Linked DNA regions of Caenorhabditis elegans. The protein of the gene in region 2 interacts with the protein of the main gene of each other region in a pairwise test. Each region holds a gene or a part of one and is shown on either strand. Other genes may lie near its edges. The genes, in order: lin-1 and set-6.

Region 1 (5,288 bases), on a different chromosome or scaffold from region 2:
CACAGAAATTATAGAAAATGTGTTAACAAATATTTTGTCAGTTGCCAATATTTTATTAAAATTTTATTAAAATAAAATTAAAGACATCCGAGGTATAGGCTGCTAAAGTAGAGCAAGAGTGGGTTCATTCGACGCACTGCCACGACTTTCCTTCTTTGACAGCCTATATCTCTAATCATTTTTAGAATGTTAGTAAGTTTGACATTAGAACAATATAGAAAAATGGCTGAAAAATGTTTTGTTAAAATGACAGTTTCAAATAAAATCAAAAGATAACCGTGGTATGAGCTGGCAAAGTTGAGCGTGTGAATTCGATGCACCATGTTTGATCCTCTACACTTTAGAAGACCATATTTCGATCGATTTTAAAGATATCAACGTATAGTAAACTAGAAAACTATAGAAAAATACCGTATTTCTTCTATTAATATGGCTGCAATACTATTTTTCGATGGTCTTCCCGCTTGCAATACTAATAGGGAGTGCAAGACTATTAGGGAGTGCAATACTAATTTTCAGAACATTTTTCTGACTTTGAGCTTACTAGTTTTTTTCTGAAAAAGCTCGAATCTTATGTAAAAATTCAGAAAATTTGCTTTTAATTGTAACATATATAATAAGTTCAAAAACTTCAATCTCGTAGAAATGTTGTGAAAAACTGTTGCAAAATAGGCAAATTTTTTTGTTGAAATCCTGAAGTTAACAAGACGGGCCTGCAATAAAAAAGAGTAAACGCAAGGCTATTAGGGAGTGCAAGACTAATAGGGAGTGCCATACTAATTTTCGGAAGGTCTCCGAGGGGCAATACTAATAGGGAGTGCAAGTCTAATAGGGAGGCCATATTAATAGAAGATATACGGTATGTGAAAAACAATTTTTTAGTTGGCAATTTTCTGATAAAACCAATGTCAATCAAGATGTCAACTGATAAAGTTGCATAGGCTGCCAAAGTGGGTTCATTTGAGGTTCAATTGATGCACCATGTCGTTCCTTCTTGGACAGCCTATATCTCTATTTATTTTAATGCTAGTAATTTTAAAATGAGAAAATTATAGAAAAATATTTGAAAAATGTTTTGTTAGTTGTCAATTTCAAATAAAATCAAAAGACAACCAAGATATGAGCTGTCAAAGTTATGCAGTTAAATCCTCCTCACTTTAGAAGCTCTAATTTCAGTTGATTTTAAAAATATCAAAATATAGTAAACTAGAAAACTATAAAAAAATATGTGACAAACATTTTGTCAGTTGACAATTTTCTGATAAAACCAATGACAACCGAAATATAAACTGGTAAAGTTGAAGTTTTTTTTCGATGCACCATGTTCGTTTAATATGATGATTTTCTAATTTTCCAAAATAGTTATATATTGGCAAGTGGAAAAAAATTTGGTTTGTTTTAAATTGATTAATAATGTTAATTGCATAATTGTACAATATTTTGTCAGTTGACAAAAACAACCAAGTTTTCAAAGTTAAGTCTCGAGCAAGTTTCGGTTTCCTACGTTGTTTGGCGGGTTTTCAAAGAGTTTTTTGGGCAATTTCAGACAATTTTGAGCTATTTTGAAGTAAGAAGACATACAAAAACATTGCAGGTATTATAAAATAATTATCAAATAGCTAAAAAAAAATTCTTCATTACACTTAAACAACTTTTGAGCAGACCAACTTTTGTGATTTCCAATATATGATTTTACTTTTAAAAAAAATCTAAGACTAAACCATTTCCCTCAACTTTTAAATTATTCTAACATTAAACCTCTCCTCTTCCGTTTAAAATCGTATTAGCCAAGGGAATTAGGCCTTTGAAACTAAAACTTTTCCCTTGTGTCTTGTGTCACAACGCATTAAAATTTGAAGATATTAATAATTGTCCCACTTTCCACATACTTCATTCTTTTTTTATGAATTGTACAGTAGGCCTTTATGCCTGCCTGGTGCCTAGAGTAGGCATAAGGTAGGCATGAGATCGTAAAGTGACAGCAAGTTTTGCTCATATCTTAAAATTATCGTGTTTTTATAATGTAGATTCAATTCAACAATAAGTGAGCAAAAAGTGTTGTAAATTTCCGCATTTTACAGCCCCCCTCCCGTCCCTTGTTATCTATAGAGTCACTGAAAATAGTAGCCAGCTCGTCACTCATTGCCACGTCATCTTTCATCAGCCGCCGCCACCCCGTACCATTTTCCAGGTCAAAAGAAAGCGCCGACACTCTACAGTTTACACGAAAATGAATCACATTGACCTTTTGAAGGTTTGTCCACTGACTTCATGACTCCTAAATAGTATTCTTTTGCAGGTCAAAAAAGAGCCGCCGTCGAGTTCGGAAGAAGCCGAGGAAGAAGAATCTCCGAAACATACGATTGAGGGAATTTTGGATATAAGAAGTTAGTTTATTTTTTATAGTATTTGGAGCAAAACACACTTGCTACTAAAAGCAAATGTGCTCAATGAAGTTTGGCTCAAAATTGCTGATAGTGATTTTTATTTTGAATGAAAAATTTCACATTTTTCGGCAATTTGCTTATTGTGATTTGAACAGTCGAAATGTGAAATGAAAAATTAGGGGACATGGTGCATTGATTGGGCAACTTTGGCAGTTTATATTTCGGTTAATGTTTAAGATACGAAAAAATATGTAACTACAAAGTTATAGAACAACATATGAAATTTGTTTTGTTAGTTAAAAGTTTTTTGATAGAACCAAAGATAGCCAAGGAAAGTGGTGACAAAGTTATGCACCATGTTTGAACCTCTACACTTTAGGAGCACATATTTCGGTTCATTTTTAAAATATCAACATATAGTAAAATACAAAACTATAGAAAAATATGTGAAAAACAATTTTTTAGTTGACAATTTTCTGATAAAACCAATGTCAATCAAGATATCAACTGATAAAGTTGCATAAGCTGCCAAAGTGGGTTCATTTGAGGTTAATTTGTTGGACAGCCTATATCTCTATTTATTTTAATGCTAGTAATTTTAAAATGAAAAAATTATAGCAAAATATTTGAAAAATGTTTTGTTAGTTGACAATTTCAAATAAAATCAAAAGACAACCAAGATATGAGCTGATGCACCATGTTAAATCCTCCTCACTTTAGAAGCTCTAATTTCAGTTGATTTTAAAAATATCAAAATATAGTAAACTAGAAAACTTTAAAAAAATATGTGACAAACATTTTGTCAGTTGACAATTTTCTGATAAAACCAATGACAACCGAGTCAATGACAATGACAATGACAATGACAACTGGTAAAGTTGAAAGGATGTTCGAACAATATGATACTTTTCTACTATAGTGGCAAGTGGAGCTATTGGCACATTCTCAAAATATTTTACTAACTAGTCTAGTAGAACAAGTTTCAAACCAATTTGTTCTTCCTGCCAGACGGCTGAATAAACCGTAACGACCATGCTCTTCCACCTGTCGGTTGATGCTCAACTACTGATTCCTCTCCCTGCCACTTTTTTCTCTTTTTTTCTGAATTTAGTTTTGGTTTTTGCGGGTAAAATCCGATAAGAATTGATGAATGTGTGTCGCTTTGGGTAGAGCAGCTAATCCGTATTTGGTTTTAATGATGATTTGATGATTTAGTATGGTGTTTCTTTTTTCTCAAGTTTTTGAGTAGAATTTTCAAGAAATTTGTGAGAAAAATGACTTAAATTTTGCCAAAACATAGGGTATTTTTTAAAACTTTGAGCAGAATTTTCAAAAAAAATAACACGATAAAATTCAATTCTAAAATAATTGTCAAGACGAAATTTTCGGTATAAATCCAACTCCCTCTATACATATTTCCGCCTCACAGTACCGCAGGTCCCCCATTTTTGTTTGATTTCTACCGCATTTTCACACCCAATCACTTTTGTATATATATACATACGACATATGGTGTCAATTAATAAGTCGGAGGGGAGGGTGTGTGTTTGATACGTTTATATATTTAGATACTTCTTGTTGAAGAGTCAAGTTAAATCAAACCACATGACAATGTTTAGAGCTTTAAAGGTTCATAACTGGAACTATTGTTTTTATATCCATTTGCAAAACGTTACATTAAACACATGGCTGGAATAAAATACAACCTTTTGTCTTTACTATGCCACAGAGTCTGTAATAGTGTCCTCCAATAATTTAATGCATTTTTACGTGCTTTGCAATTTTTCTGAAAGTATCTTCAAATGGGTGAAAATCACTCATTTTGATATTCTTCTATACCTTTGAATTTTCTTGATATATATGCTTTACTGTTACCCCTAAAACCATCCCAACTAGCATCTGTTCTTCACTATTTACGGGTCTCTTGTCTTCCTTATCTGTTGTTATTGTTGTTGTGCTCTTTCGGAGCAGCTGAAGTTGCGGATTAAAGTCATCTGCGACCAAAATTGACGGATCGGAATATATGGCCGACAAAGAAGAGGTGCTTGAATGGGGTGAAGTGGGGGTCCTAAAAAGATCAGTCATCCGGAATGTTTTTAGGGTAGTATCATATGAAAAACCCCTCTACTCAATTCATATTAAATATTTTGTCAGCCCCTGAAACCTCTTTATCCAACAAGAAAACCGTACTAATGATAGGTTATATCGGAAAGATGTGGAAGGGTGGAACATAAATATTATTGCGTCTTCACGGATTTTTGTGAGATCATCATTTTGGAGATAACCAGGGGGGAAGGTCATCAAAAGGTGCGACTGATAGGCATCTGGTAGTGCATGATTCAGTTTTAGTAGTGTATTTGCTTTTTTTTGAGGACATGAGAAAAATTTAGGAAATTTTTGAACCCACCTTGAGAATTTTGGAATAACTGCTGTAGCCTCTCCTAGGGCTTCCACCAGGGGTGTGCGGCAAATCTCAAAATTTGCCGAGCTCGGTAAATTCGGCAAATCTCTTTTTTCAATATTTGCCGAGCACGGCAAATTCGGCAAATTCGGCAAATTCGGCAAATTCGGCAAATTCGCCGTGCTTAACAAACTCGGAAAAATTTGATATTTTTTTTATGTTTTTTGGAGCACCAAAACTACTGAATTCTTAACACACATCTGGTTTCTGAATAAGTTCCGCGTAGTATGTCTGTTTAAGCATCAAAATAGCTCAATTTTGTATCATTTTACTAAATTTTTGGCTAAAAAATCAATAGTTTTAGTCAAAATTGTACTGTCAAATTTTTGACGTGTGCGGCAAATTCGGCAAATTCGGCAAATCTACTTTTTTGAAATTTGCCGTGCTCGGCAAATTCGGCAAATTCGGCAAATTTGCCGCACACCCCTGGCTTCCACGTA
Region 2 (7,317 bases):
TATATTAACAATATTTCAGTAGGTACAAGAAGCTTCACGTAGTTACAGAAATAGTACATTTTCAGCCCTACCTTATAATGCGTATTTTATTATTTAATGAAAACTACCATTTAGAGGCAAAAATAGATGAATTTTCGTAATTTTGAAAATTCATAAATCTCTTCAAAGTAACTTTTTTCGAAATGTCTTTCAGAAACTTTGTAGTAAATTTTAAGCTCTTTCAGAATATATTAACAATATTTCAGTAGGTACAAGAAGCTTCACGTAGTTACAGAAATAGTACATTTTCAGCCCTACCTTATAATGCGTATTTTATTATTTAATTAAAACTACCATTTATAGGCAAAAATAGATGAATTTTCCAAACTTTGAAAATTCATAAATCTCTTCAAAGTAACTTTTTTCAAAATGTCTTTCAAAAACTCTGTAGTAAATTTTAAGCTCTTTCAGAATATATTAACAATATTTCAGTAGGTACAAGAAGCTTCACGTAGTTACAGAAATAGTACATTTTCAGCCCTACCTTATAATGCGTATTTTATTATTTAATAAAAACTACCATTAATAGGCAAAAATATATGGATTTTCGTAACTTTGAAAATTCATAAATCTCTTCAAAGTAACTTTTTTCGAAATGTCTTTCAGAAACTTTGTAGTAAATTTTAAGCTCTTTCAGAATATATTAACAATATTTCAGTAGGTACAAGAAGCTTCACGTAGTTACAGAAATAGTACATTTTCAGCCCTACCTTATAATGCGTATTTTATTATTTAATGAAAACTACCATTTAGAGGCAAAAATAGATGAATTTTCGTAATTTTCAAAATTCATAAATCTCTTCAAAGTAACTTTTTTTGAAATGTCTTTCAGAAACTTTGTAGTAAATTTTAAGCTCTTTCAGAATATATTAACAATATTCCAGTAGGTACAAGAAGCTTCACGTAGTTACAGAAATAGTACATTTTCAGCTTTACCTTTTAGTGCGTATTTTATTAGTTAATGAAAACTACCATTAATAGGCAAAAATAGATGGATTTTCCAAACTTTGAAAATTCATAAATCTCTTCAAAGTAACTTTTTTCGAAATGTCTTTTAGAAACTTTGTAGTAAATTTTAAGCTCTTTTAGAATATACCAACAATATTCCAGTAGGTACAAGAAGCTTCACGTAGTTACAGAAATAGTACATTTTCAGCTTTACCTTTTAGTGCGTATTTTATTAGTTAATGAAAACTACCATTTATAGGCAAAAATAGATGAATTTTTATTAAATAATAAAATACGCTCTAAAAGGTAGGGCTGAAAATGTACTATTTCTGTAACTACGTGAAGCTTCTTGTAACTACTGAAATATTGTTAATATATTCTGAAAGAGCTTAAAATTTACTACAAAGTTTCTGAAAGACATTTCAAAAAAAGTTACTTTGAAGAGATTTATGAATTTTCAAAATTACAAAAATTCATCTATTTTTGCCTATTAATGGTAGTTTTTATTAAATAATAAAATACGCTCTAAAAGGTAGGGCTGAAAATGTACTATTTCTGTAACTACGTGAAGCTTCTTGTACCTACTGGAATATTGTTGGTATATTCTAAAATTATTCAGCTATATCGTATCGTATTCAGCTATATCGTATCGTATTTAGCTATATCGTTTGTCTTTTGTGCCTTCATTCTTTTAAAGACATAACATTTTACTAATAGGCTTTTTTTTCTAAATTTTGATACTGCTCATACGAATACAATTGAAGATTTTAATATTGTCTTCGCTCCTCTCACATTTGTCAGTCAATTGAACTGGTTAGAATGCACTCTCTAAATCTCTCTTCCCCAATTCCAGTCTCTCTTCTCTCTCAAACTGCTTTAGTATCTGCGTCTGTTAGTACGTCTGCTCTCTATTTGTTCCGCTTTTTCACTGGACAAGATTATTGATTTTTTCAAAACGCGAGTTAACTTGTCATATTGTTAGTTCTTTTTTTCGAAAGTTTTCAATAATTGAATCTTATTTTTTCTTTGTACTATAGTAATAATCGTAATTTTTTATTCATCGACATGAAATTCATTTTCCACAACTTTAATTAGTTTACTGCTTATAGAAAATGGAACGATCTCGAACTGGAGGTTCATCAACATATTCAATGTCAACAGCAAATGTTCCAATAATAACAATAAGTGACGACGACGATGTAAGTGCCATTTTTGTAGATGGAAGTTTGTTTGAAATAGAAACGTTTCCTAGATTTCATTTTCACGATAACTTATCTTCAGGAACTGACCATTTGGGAAGAACCACGGAAAAGCCCCATCTCATCAAATAGTTATTCAGATGAAAGAAATCACTCCCTATCTAGCACATCAAATAGCTCTGTTGAACGGTCTATTATAATTACAATTAGTGATGATGAATCTGAAGTAAGTTTTCAATGTTTTTGACTTCTCAACAAACAAAAAGATATATATTCTGAATAGTTGCAAATTTATAGTTCCGCCTAATCACAGTCATTTTACAGGCTACGGAAAGAAACCAGCAGGAAGTTGTTGATCGAGCGATTTCAAATAATTTGACGGAAAAGCGTAGAAGATCAGTTGAATCTTTTCATAGATTAGTAGGTTGTTTTTATTTTTGAAACGAGATTCTTCAAATATAACAATTTCAACGGTAATATCTACTAGCCTAATTTTAACAAAAAATGTATTCTCTGCACAGTACTGAAAAAAAGTATGAAATTGAAATGTGCAGCTTGCTACTAATTTTTAAATAAGTATAACGTCAAATGCTCATTGAAGCAGTCTGGCGACTTTCAGCTCCAAATTTATTGAACTCTGGAAAAATGATTCGAACGTGAATAGTCACTAGAGCAAATTACTCAGAAGTGACAACGGCCTGGAATGCAGATTAACTGGATTGCTCACTTCTATAACTAAAAACTACTTTCAAATTGTATTTGTTTAATGACAATGTTCACTTTTCATGCTAGAAACTAGAAATTTTTAAAAAAAGTTTTGAATGTGAAAATACAGAAAAAATACGGTTTTCATCCATTGGCCATTATCAAAATTGTTCTTGAACTGTTTGACTCCCTGATATGTTCATATTTTAATCGTACGTGATGAGAATTTGTTTGTATATCAAACAATTGCTACAAAAAAAACATAATTTTCACAATAATACTAATTCCAGCATTCGAAAGAAAGAAAACTGGAAGTTAAGTCTCGAAAAAAGAGTAGGACCTCATCGAGCTCAATGGAAGCATCCACATCATGTACATTTCCAGCACGCCAAGTGGGTTTTACATATTTTATTGCCACCGAATTCCGTTAGTTCAAATTCGCTAAGAACATTTACAGAGAGATTTAGAGAGACCCCTCCTTGTGCAACAAAATGTTTTTTTTTCAGACAAAAACAAAACGTCATAAAAGGAAAACATACAGCACAATATCTTCGTTTGCTCCTCATCACAGTACTATATGTGCAGAACTACGAAACGTCAACCCAGCGAGGGTAATCATATTTACAGATTTTAAAAATTTGAAAACCGAATTGAATAAAACTGTTGTATTTACAATAACTGAAAAACAGTGCTCAACTGTATCATTCAAAATTATCTACTTATTGACAATGTTCTAGCTGAAAATTGTATTTTCAGATTGCGGACTTTCGTCACCCATCTATTTTTGAGTACTCCGACATGAGCTTGAATGAAAGAAGAGAACACTGGAAAAAAGAAATGAAAGTAATAAAGAAACACAACGACATCCGTCTAATGCACGAAGAAGCTGTTAGGTTCGACGACATTATAGAGCTAGACCCAACGTTGAATGGATATTACCGAAGATTCATGGGAGCCGAGCAAAGCACGAGAGCTCTGTTTATGGCTGTTCGATGTCTGGCCACCTTTGGCCGTAATTTCTATGAAGAACCTGAACGTGATCATGGGGAAGAAGAAATACCTGAGTGAGGAATTTTTATGTAGACTTATATGTTATAAAGCTTAATTTCAGAGAGCTCGACCGTTACTTTGAAAAGTTGATATATGTGGCGCCTAGAACACGGATTCGTATTACGGATGATATTCACTTGTCAAATGATACCCACAGAATTCCAGTTTACACAGATGCAAAAGGCGAAACACTAAAAACAGTCAAAATTCCAAACCCCCTTCTTTATGATCACATTATCAACAATATGGTGGACAAAGTTAAAGAGCCGTTGCTATATGAAGCAATCAAAATTGCAGGATCGTCAGAAAATGTGGTATGATGTTTTTCGATTCGAATTTATAAAACAACTGGCAAGTTGAAAAATTAAAATTGTAATTCGATAGTTTTTGCAACGACAGGCTTTGGCAATAGAAAAACATTCTTGAACAGTTGTGATGAGCGACCTAAGAAAAAACGTGTAGAATAAGTAGTAGTAGAGAACGTCAAGTTGGAGAACAAGTAAAAACCATTTTTATGGCTCTAAAATCATCAAATATCACAATTGTAAAATTTTGAACTTAATTTGGAAAACGTTTTGATTTTTTTCAAAATCCGAGAATAAAACGGTAAAAACTGAGTTTTCATCAACTTTATGTTTAAAAAAAATGTTTTTCTTCCAGTTTCTAGTAGTAGTTTTATGTTTGAATTATGTTTAAAATATTTTTAATTCAAAATTGTAAGGGGTTGAAACTGTTAGAATATTAAAAAACACTCTAAGAGAAGGAATTATATATGATTTAAAAATAAAAGTAAATGACAATGCAATATTTCATTTAGTAAAAGTATATCAGCTTTTTTATTCAGATTCGTTGTAAATGTTGTTCCCAAGATCCAGTCGTCAACTGTTTTGATAACAAAGATTGCCCGTGTTTTATTGCAAATCAGTTTTTGCAATCTAGAAACAAAACAACGGATACAAATGAAAAGTTGAAATTTGTAAGTATATTTCTCAGTTTTAATAATTATTTTGCAAATTGTCTATTTTCAGCATACTTTTCAACCCCTTATGTACAACGATGGAAATCCGACTTACTACAATACTGTTGGGTTTGCATGTTCACCAAAATGTGCTTGTAAAGGAGCTTGCACTAATAATGCAACGTACTTGATTCAAAAGAAACTGTACTCTATTGAAATTTATCGTGCAGATCCTCAAATTGGATTTGGAATTCGATCTACTCTGTTCATTCCAGCAGGGACTCCAATTATTGAATACTGCGGAGAACTAGTTGATGGAGAACGGCTGCATAGTTCATTGGAAAATTATAGTTACCAGTTAACTGACTGTGAAGGAGACAAACACCTTTACAACCTGCTTCGTGAAAAGTACAAAAACAATCCAGAATACTATGATGTACTGGACGAATTGAGCAAGCATCATTTTCACTTGGACGCCAAAATGCAAGGAAGTGTTGGCAGATTTGCAAATCATTCATGTACTCCGAATATGGAACCTCTTCGACTTTTCAAAGAAGGATTTACACCCGCCAATATGCGAATGATTTTTTTCACTCTGAAGGACATTTTTCCAGGAGAACCTGTAAGGAAATTTTTATATTTTTAAAATAAAGCAGCCATAGATGGGCCTGCCTGAAAAAGTGTCAATTCTGTTCCGGGTACAACATTTTAGTTACATTAAACTGAAAAAGTTCAGAATATATGGTACATTTTGCATGCAAATCTCATTTCCAATTTGTCCAATCGAGAGTCTAATAGAGGTTGCATATCATATTTTTTGATCAGTAAGACTTGTACAGTTTTGTATGTGATTTGAAAGACAAAAAATCACCTTAAATTACTCCCATTACACATTATTTCTTGAGAATCAACTGGATAAATATTGAAAAATCAACGAACAACTAAAAAATATACTTTTAAAATATTTCTGAAGAACATTTTATTTTTTCGATACACCACTTAGAGAGCAAGTCTAATAGGGACGCATTACTCAGAAGGAAAATACGGTAATCCTAAAAATTTGTGTTTTTCATAGTTTTTAATTTTTCATTGCAAATTATGAAGTCCATTTGTCTGAAAATGTTATATACATAACCATTTAAATTACTAATTTCAGCTTACTCTGGATTATGGCTCAGAATACAAGGTGTTTCGAAGGCAAAGATGTCTTTGTAGAACATTTGCCTGTAGAAGTGGGCCGCATTATGAGAAGTTTTCAAATTTGGATGGGAAATTGGTTAGTCAATGGTGTACACACATGAAGTATCACCAAATTTGCATATATGAATTGGATTGTTTGCAGATTGCATCATGTTTTGTTAGACTTCATCACGCATCCCGCATTCGATATTCGGTGGACTTACAGCTAATAGAAAGATTTTATTCTGTTGGAAAAGTTGAGGAGGTTCGGGTTGATCCATGTGTATCTTTTTCAAAATATAACCTGAAATGGAGGCGACAATTGTCTACAGCGACTTGTGAACGTTTGGAAAACGTTATTGAAATTGAACTGTCCGACGAAGATTCATAACTGCCATAAAATATGATCTAAATTTTAATATTTATGTAATAATTGTATCAAATTTGCTCTATTAAGCATGCACTTCATTGCTGAACTTTGGAATTTAATATTATCAGTTAATACAGTTTTACATATACAGTTTTAAAATAGTGCACTACGAATAGAGCAAACCAGATGTGTGACAAATATTATTTAGTTATGTTGATGTATTTATAGTCATTATGAATTTATTTAATGTGCATTTATATAATACATCGAATAGAAAAAAGTTTTGAATGAAATTGTGTGAATTCTAAAGCTTGTAAACGTTTGGAGACAGTATTACAATAATAAGTGGCAATAGTGAAGCGCCAGGCAATAGTGAAGCGCCAGACTGTACGTTTGGCTAAAATGTCATGTTTCAAATTTCCTCACCTGAGCATTTTTGTCGTTGCCGGTTTATTCATCCAAACGGTTAACATTTTGTACAGAAAAGCAAAAAAACATGAGTCTTCAGGTGTAACAGAGAGCATAATATGATCTTATCGATGGGAAAGTGAACTATGTCTGTGTTAAAATTGAAAGAAGAAAATATTGCATTTGTCACGTAGCCATCGAGTTATTTTAGACGTGATAGATTAAGAAACAAAGTGAATGCATTCATAAAGTTCGGATTCTCGCTCTGAAATAAAGAGTAAATTTATTATTTGCATTTTTCAAATTAAAATCAAAGGATTTTAAATATTCGATGTTTTGTTCTAATCATGAACAATAGTAAGAAGAAAAAACGTGAATTTATCATTTAATACTGATAATCTCACCTGTTGATGATCATTCTGGATTGCGAGGTGTCTTTAAAGATATTTAAGTATTTGAAA

The links.
Region 1: the proteins of set-6 (region 2) and lin-1 interact in a two-hybrid assay, tested with the Caenorhabditis elegans proteins (one study listed by BioGRID).

What each region holds. Positions count from the first base shown.
Region 1 is NC_003282.8:2,297,229-2,302,516, reverse strand, and holds the start of lin-1 (ETS domain-containing protein), read left to right. Parts: upstream 1-2,230; coding exon 2,231-2,254; intron 2,255-2,299; coding exon 2,300-2,387; intron 2,388-5,288.
Region 2 is NC_003284.9:11,969,459-11,976,775, reverse strand, and holds set-6 (Histone-lysine N-methyltransferase set-6), read left to right. Parts: upstream 1-2,096; 5' UTR 2,097-2,099; coding exon 2,100-2,186; intron 2,187-2,268; coding exon 2,269-2,412; intron 2,413-2,510; coding exon 2,511-2,606; intron 2,607-3,181; coding exon 3,182-3,283; intron 3,284-3,397; coding exon 3,398-3,502; intron 3,503-3,647; coding exon 3,648-3,955; intron 3,956-4,002; coding exon 4,003-4,255; intron 4,256-4,785; coding exon 4,786-4,917; intron 4,918-4,969; coding exon 4,970-5,521; intron 5,522-6,055; coding exon 6,056-6,175; intron 6,176-6,241; coding exon 6,242-6,469; 3' UTR 6,470-6,746; downstream 6,747-7,317.